Linked DNA regions of Bombyx mori. The protein of the gene in region 2 interacts with the protein of the main gene of each other region in a pairwise test. Links are inferred from orthologs where the notes say so. Each region holds a gene or a part of one and is shown on either strand. Other genes may lie near its edges. The genes, in order: Dorsal and serine/threonine-protein kinase pelle.

Region 1 (3,830 bases), on a different chromosome or scaffold from region 2:
TCGAAACACGACTCTACCAAACTATTTGTGTTCGTGTATTGCGTGACGTGAACGTGTGATTATTCCTAGAATAAAAAAATTGGATTCTAATAGAACTCACTCCTGAAGGGGTCCACCCTGAGCTCCTCCCGGAGGCGCAGCTCGGCGACGATGTCCTTGCGCTTGACGCATTGTATCCCAAGGTTCCTGAACTGGTACTCGTTGTTGTCCTCCGTGACGTCGGTGCGCACCGAGCACACGCCGCGGTCGCAGCGCTCCCGCCCCACCAGGTTGTGCGGGTGCGGTCTGCGCGTCACCACACACGTAACAGGTACATACATACAACTCCGCAGGACAACGCCCAGGGAATAATGCCCTTGTAGGCAGACGAGCACACGGTCCACCTGATGGTGAGTGGATACCGTCGCCCATGGACTTCAGCATTGCCAGGGGCAGACCCAAGCCGCTGCCTACCGCTTAACTCGTTTGAAGAAGAACATGTCATAGCGCTCGGGAAACACCGTGGAGGGGCTCATTCCATAGCCGGATGGTACGCGGCAAAAAAGACCTCTGGAAACGTACTGTGGATGAACTCTATTCCGATGGCGGGCGGTGGGATGGTAAAAACGAGATGACGGTATCATCTCGAACAATTCGAAATCGACATATTGCAACACCGCGAACCAAATTGTGTTATTATTGAAAATTCATTTGTGTATGATCGGAATTCATTGGAAGAAGACCTTGTTCCAGTATTACGTAAGCAAATTTATTACAATCATTCACCCCCCCTTTCCCCTTGTCAGCATAAGTAAACAAAGCTCTGACCCCAAATGCTAACGTGAACATTAGTATATGAATTTTTCTACTAACGTATTCTAATTTTTTTAATGATTAATGAGCAGCAATTATAATTCTAAAAATAAGAAAATAGGCTTATAGGATAGAGTACTTTAACGCACATCATATTCACTTATATGCGCGCAATAATTCCCCTACTCTGTTCCAAGCGAGTACGTAAACGTATTATTATTCATGGGAATCCCCGAAAATGCGTTTCGTTTTCAAGCATAGACAATGTGTAGGTTGTCAATATGTGTAAAAAAATAAATAACCACTGCGACATAATCACCCCACATGTCACCAAAAATAAGCAAAGTAAACCCGCACGCAGTCAGTCAGTAAACGGAACTACTCGAAGCGAAACAGCGAACGGATCACCTGAAGCGAAGCGGAACAAGCGAATTGAGTGTTTTAAAGTGTTTGTGAAGTGTTTAAGTGTTCCAAGTCTTTAATACAGTTTTTTTGTTGTAGTTTGGTGAAATTTTATTTATAGAACACCAGCGCGTAACAATATTTTAGAAAAAAAAAGACGACACTTACTTAAACGGGGGATCCTTGTTGACGCAGGACACGACTATGGTGGCCGGTCCCTTGTAAGAGCATATCTTGATTGTAGGATAAGTTTTGTTCTCCGGAGTACTGGACACGCCCGGGAGCGAGCCCGCCGACCGGCCCTCGCATTTATACCGGAATCTGCAACAAACATATGTGAGGTTCGCATAGTTTTCTTTGCGATTTAGATAACGCCGTCCTGCCGACTTCTGCGGCGAAGCAGTAACTCATTCCAGATAATCGCGTGCGGTGGTTTAGCTGTTTTGTAGTCGAAATTTCGGTTTCATGTCATAAGGTCCGTAAAACCTTTAGAAAAAATATTGATAGCGTGCACTACAAAAATTTTTTTTTTTTAATTCGTTCGTATGAGCGTCACACTAAAACCACTGATGCGGTTTTGGTACGAGCTGTACGTCTAAAACCTTGTAATTATCTAGGTAAAGGAAACAGTACATAGTTTAGTGCATACGTATTTTTTCACAGTTACTCTTCTTTTACTGGTGGCAGGGCGTTTTGTGATCTCGCACGGGTAGCGATAGCGTATAGGTGTCGGTGTCGCAGGCAATTTGTATGATTCCGCCGTTTACAAACGGCGTCGTCATTATAAAAACGCTCGCCGTTATGTAAAATGCCGAAGGCAAAATGTAAACTGCCGTGTCACTTTATAATATGCCACAACATAGCATCGACAATTCAAACGCTGTTTTCATAATGCCGCGGCGAATTGAAATGCTTAGTTCAATTTTTTACCACGCGCGCCACTGTTGATCAAAATAATAACAACCGCGTCAAAAAATAACTGAAAACAGTGCAAATATATCGTGTGGAGAAGACATTTTAGGAAAGATTCTGATTTTAAAGGCATATATTATAGTGAATTAAAAAAAAAATACAATTCTCAAATGGAAGCTGTAAAAAAGCCTTGGACAAATAGTAAGATTTTTGAGGTTATTCGGCACCTAAAAAATGCTAAGGTGGCCACAGAATCTAGTTCGCGGAGGACTCCTGCAGATTACTACTGGTCAAGACAATACGAGGTCCTGAGCATCAGTGAATTGGACTACTTTATTTTAAAAAGGATAGCCCTGGTAGTCCAACCGTTCGTGTAATACCGTTGAACGAATATTCCGATGTATTGTTAGAGATTCATAGAGGTTGCGGACATGGTGATCGAGACAAAATTCAGTATCAAACGAAGGATAGATTTATTAGTGTGAGAAAAGCGATTGATTTATTCGTATCGTTATGTCCTGTTTGTGAATCCAAACGTAACATACCAAATAAAGGTATCGTAGTTAAACCGATTATATCTCGAGATTTTAATGAGCAGAGTCAAGACCATGAATACTTCAAACTTCAAAATATGATTTTACTTACGACCTGTTTGTTTTATTTGAAAGTGTCATATTATCCTTAGAAGTTTTATTATTGTCATGAGTATCATAATATAAAGTGTGTAATTTAAATGTTGTTTTGTTACTTAAATATTTTAATTAAGTACTTTAAGAGAATCAAAGCACATAATTTAGTCTTACTTGAAATCTTCATTAGTACTTGATTACAGAAATAAAGTCTGATTATTATAAGCTGCATTTTATTGTGGTCACCCTAAAACTACAACCAATGTCGAAATTATAACTATTGAACGAGTTATCATTTTGCCTTCGGCATTTTACATAACGGCGAGCGTTTTTATAATGACGACGCCGTTTGTAAACGGCGGAATCATACAAATTGCCTGCGACATAGGCACTACCCTGCCTATTTCTGCAGTGAAACAGCAATGCCTTTCGGTTCGAAGGATGGGGTAGCCGTTGAACATGAAAACTGAGACTTAGAACTCATGTTTCAAGGTATAAAACGATTAAACCGTAATTCAATATATCTCGCCCGGTAACAAAGAATACTCGTATTAAAACCAATACAATGCAAACGCGAAGATATTAACAGGTCATGCACACAGGCCGCGTAATGAGAGCACGTTTATAATTAGAAAGCCACATACATACTGAGTTCGAAACATTGTTTATATCAACTTAAAATTTTATTAGCTTACGCTGGCAGCGGGCTTGCGGTTCGAGCGAAATCGGCTGCTATGCATTTTTTTTTCCTACCAAGTTGCTAGCCTTGAGAGGCTATTTCAGCGTAACCTTAACTAGTAGGTGAGCTCACGGGGCTAGAACCTGACGTTGTTGCTAACACGAACCCTAGCAAGAGCAGTGCTTCGCAGAATCTACCACCGGATCGGAAACGCGACCCACTGAGAAGATCCGGCGAGAAACTCAGTGGGCTGCTACTATGTCGTGAATGGGTGTTCGTTGAAAAAATTGGGTTTTATTTTATTTGATTGCCCGCCCCGTTTAGTGTTAAACGGTCACCAGAACCACGATAGCTGACTCTCATCTTGAGACATATACACCGAAGAATAGAAAGGTGTTAAAATAGTTATCTCTAAC
Region 2 (3,830 bases):
GCAGCGCGCGGCACAGCGCGGGGTGCGGCGGCAGGCGCGGGTCGTGCAGCGCGCCCAGGTCGTGCCGCGCGGCGTGCCACGAGTGCAGCTGGTGCGCCAGCAGGGGCCGCGCGCGGGAGCGGTCCCAGGCCGGCAGCCCCGTGCTGGTCTCGGCCACCACCACGCCGAAGCTGTACACGTCGACGGCCGGCGACAGCACGCACGACTGCAGGTACTCGTCCGGCAAGTAGGGCCTCGTCCCGTACACTCTACACGATGCGGTTACATCGGGTCAACAACGGCATGTCACAATGATGGGGCGATCGTCATTATGCAGAAGGCTAAATATTTTTTTGAATTTTATTAATAAAAAGTTGCAGTAAGATATCTTTGCGTGTACTGCATTGTATCTGGACGGCATATTAATAAGCGACTGAGATTTTTTAAAAATTAGAAAGAAAGAATACATTGAGCATCAACAATGACCGTCAAGTAGGTATACCCCCCCCCCATCCCCCGTGTGCGCAGCCGCGGGGGACGCGCGGGCGCGGGGGCGGGGGCGGCGCAACGCGCGTCGCAGTGCAAGCGATCACGATAAGAGATGAAACGGATAGTGGTTTGGCCGGATACCGAATACCGAATATTCGGCAAGCTGCGAGGCCGCAGTGCCGGATATTCGGCCCTTTCGGAAATATTCGTGCGAGTTCGGGTGTTGTCGCACGTGAGCGGAGATCGCGACGACTCGGGGGCGTTCAAGTGTTCGCGCGTGTCAGTTTGTTTTTGTTCATGCGTGTCGTTGTGGTTTTGAATGAAAGAAGATGAAACTGGATCTAACTTCACACGTGAAGCTCATGACACTTTCTGGGACTGTTTCAATGAAGTGGCAAAGGATAATAGTAGTGATTTTCGCGATCAAGAAAAACAAATACCAATTCCTTCTTTACCGGATATCGGTTAATCTCTAATCACGATGCGCATGCGTCACGCCCCCGAGTGCTAAGTTAGTGACAGTTAAGATTAAACAAGTCATGAACGCGGAGTGAGGCTGCAAGCACTGACCGTGAGACCTTCAGATGCGTCCGTTCGTCTCCGTAGGGCCCCTTCCGCGCGAGGCCGAAGTCTCCGATCTTGGGCTCGAGGCACTGGTCCAGCAAGATGTTAGCCGGCTTGATGTCCCCGTGGATGAGCGCGCTGCCGGTCATCGTGTGCAGGAACTGCAGCCCTCTGCGAACAGTCTGTCACTCAGAAGGCGCTCCCATCTCTCGATCAGATGATATGTCCGCTCATACCTGGCCACCCCGCACATGATCCTGCAGCGCTGCGCCCAGGAGAGCGGCGCGGCGCCGTCCTTGGGCCGCAGCCGCTGCTCCAGCGAGCCGCCCGCCATCAGCTGGTACACCAGGCACGCCTCGGGCCCTGCGCACGGCACACTCGTCAGCTCGTTGGCGGCCCCGCGCGGCGGCGCGCGCTCACCTACCTCCCAGGCTGTATCCGTAGAGGGGCAGGATGTTGTCGTGGCGGTACTGGTTGAGGCACATCTCCCGCACGAGCTCTTGGTCGCGGCCCTCATTGTCGCGCAGCCTCTTCACCGCCACGCCCAGCAGCTTCCACTCCCCTGCGGGCACGCCGAGGGTCATGAGCGTCAGGGGTGGGGGGGCGGCGGCGGGGGCGGGGGGCGCGGCACGTACCCTTGTAGACCTGTCCGAAGCCGCCGCGGCCGAGCAGGTTGCGCTCGCTCCAGTCGTCCGTGGCGAGCCGCAGCTCCTCGTAGCTCATCTTCGGGATGGCGGACACCTTGCGCAGGATCTCATCGTACTTGTCGTACTGCGCGGACGAGGTGTCCTGGCGTCACACAACGAGACCATTATTCCTTGCGTCACTGACGACATGTGACTCACGATTGTACTAAATCTAAATGCCCGGTGTGTGTATGGATGTGTGTGCATATGTGTGTGCGCGTGTGTGTGTGTGTTCGTGTGAGTGAGAGTCATTATATTATAGTGTGCGTGGAAGCGCTAGCCCCGCCTGAGGTATGTGAGCGGCAGGGCGGGGGAGGTAGACAAACGTCAAGCTAACTCAGTCTGCCGCCCGTCGACTCGACCACCGCGCCGGTTACACAATTCAGTTGTTCAGTTTGCTCCAAACATACACGAGATAAAATATCCTAAGATGGGTAAAATGTAATTTACAATGTGCAGTTTTTTTTCTCAGACCGTAATGAGAATTGTAGCTGAAGGAATTTCGAATCGGAAAAACCAAAATTTACTTCTCCACGAAATCCTAATGAAATAAAAAAGATTGTTGATAAAAAATAAAAACAGATAAATAATTAATTTTTTTTATAATGTACTATAACAGTGATAGCGTTTTTTTTTATTATTTTCTTATTAACAAATGTTAATTTGCTTATAAAATTGTTTTGTATCGTAAATTATAAAATTTAATAAACACTTTTGAATATGAATTTTTTGTTTAACCAAGAAATAGAAAAATACAATATTACAATTAGGTACCCATTACATTAATTCTAACATGTTATTCTGAGATTTATCTGCACTTAAATATAATATCGTGTGCGTCTTGTCAATCACGCCCTCCCCCGTCTTACCCCGCCACATACCTCAGGAGGTGACTAGCGCTTCCGCGCGCACTATATACAAAGACGAGATGTGTGTGTTTCAAGTGCAATAAGAATACAATAAATTTGGAGACGGAAAATCGTGGGCCAAAAATGTAATAACTTGAAATGTAGTCTAAAAAAATTGTCATATTTTTTTGTATCTAATATATAAAATTCTCGTGTCACAATGTTCGTTCCCATACTCCTCCGAAACCGCTTGACCGATTCTCATGAAATTCTTTATGCATATTCAGTAAGCCTGAGAATCGGCTACTATCTATTTTTCATACCCCTAAGTGATTAGGGTTGTCCACCCCTAACATATTTTTTTTTATTTGGACAATTTTTTTTTTGTTATAATGAGGTATTATGTGGTTGAATGAGGTTTTGTTATTTTTATTATATATTCCCTCATCGTTCACAGCACTACATACCTCTTTCACTCATTTACCACATCCTTATACACTTACAATAAGTTAGTTTTTTTTTCTACACTAGAAATTCCCTAGAAATCTTATATAGTATGGCAAAACAATGTTTGCCGGGTCAGCTAGTAAGAATATAAAAAATCACCTCAATCCTTTTACTGGGACCGGAGAAAAATGAGAAAATTGGTTTTTCTCGGTTTAGCGGTGTGATCTATTTAATTAATCGATTACAGGATTATAAAAAGAAAAACATTACATTAAGTAATGAATGCAAATTAATTAAATGAGCGATTTATACTTGTTGTATACAAGTGCGGTATACGGCGAATTTAATTGCGATTATATACATAAATAAAGAAAAAGTCTATTATTACTTAACAAAGTAATATGATTATCGATTTCAAATCGATTAAAATCAATTGTATTTTTAATGACAGCTTTGATTTTTTTTTAAGGGATTTTATGTTCTGGTAACTAAGACCTTTAAGTCATGTCTTATTTTCATTTATTTTCTTATTTTTATGAAAAATGATGAAATGAAATGAAGATGATTAATTTGAGACATTAATGAACTGGGATGAAATCAAATTAAATGAGATGAGATCATATGGGATGAAATATAATCTCAGTAAAATGGTGGTCATCTACTGAGACTTTTTGGAGGATCCCGAGAAGTGACAGCCAGCGGCTTTGTTTCATTTACCCACATTTGTGCACTTTCACAGATATTAAACAGTTAATAAACCACCATTATTACACATTTAAACCCGAAGAAACACTAAATAGACAAAAGAAAACAAATC

Evidence for each region.
Region 1: the proteins of serine/threonine-protein kinase pelle (region 2) and Dorsal interact in a two-hybrid assay, tested with the Drosophila melanogaster proteins (2 studies listed by BioGRID). The link is inferred for Bombyx mori from reciprocal best matches to the Drosophila melanogaster genes pll and dl.

What each region holds. Positions count from the first base shown.
Region 1 is NC_085118.1:1,073,418-1,077,247, reverse strand, and holds part of Dorsal (embryonic polarity protein dorsal), read right to left. Parts: intron 1,516-3,830; coding exon 1,363-1,515; intron 286-1,362; coding exon 101-285; intron 1-100. UniProt on the Drosophila melanogaster protein: Embryonic developmental transcription factor. The lateral or ventral identity of a cell depends upon the concentration of this protein in its nucleus during the blastoderm stage.
Region 2 is NC_085132.1:11,582,227-11,586,056, reverse strand, and holds part of serine/threonine-protein kinase pelle, read right to left. Parts: intron 1,822-3,830; coding exon 1,668-1,821; intron 1,595-1,667; coding exon 1,457-1,594; intron 1,396-1,456; coding exon 1,269-1,395; intron 1,204-1,268; coding exon 1,039-1,203; intron 249-1,038; coding exon 1-248. UniProt on the Drosophila melanogaster protein: Plays an essential role in the Tl receptor signaling pathway that establishes embryonic dorsoventral polarity; the signal directs import of dl into ventral and ventrolateral nuclei, thereby establishing dorsoventral polarity.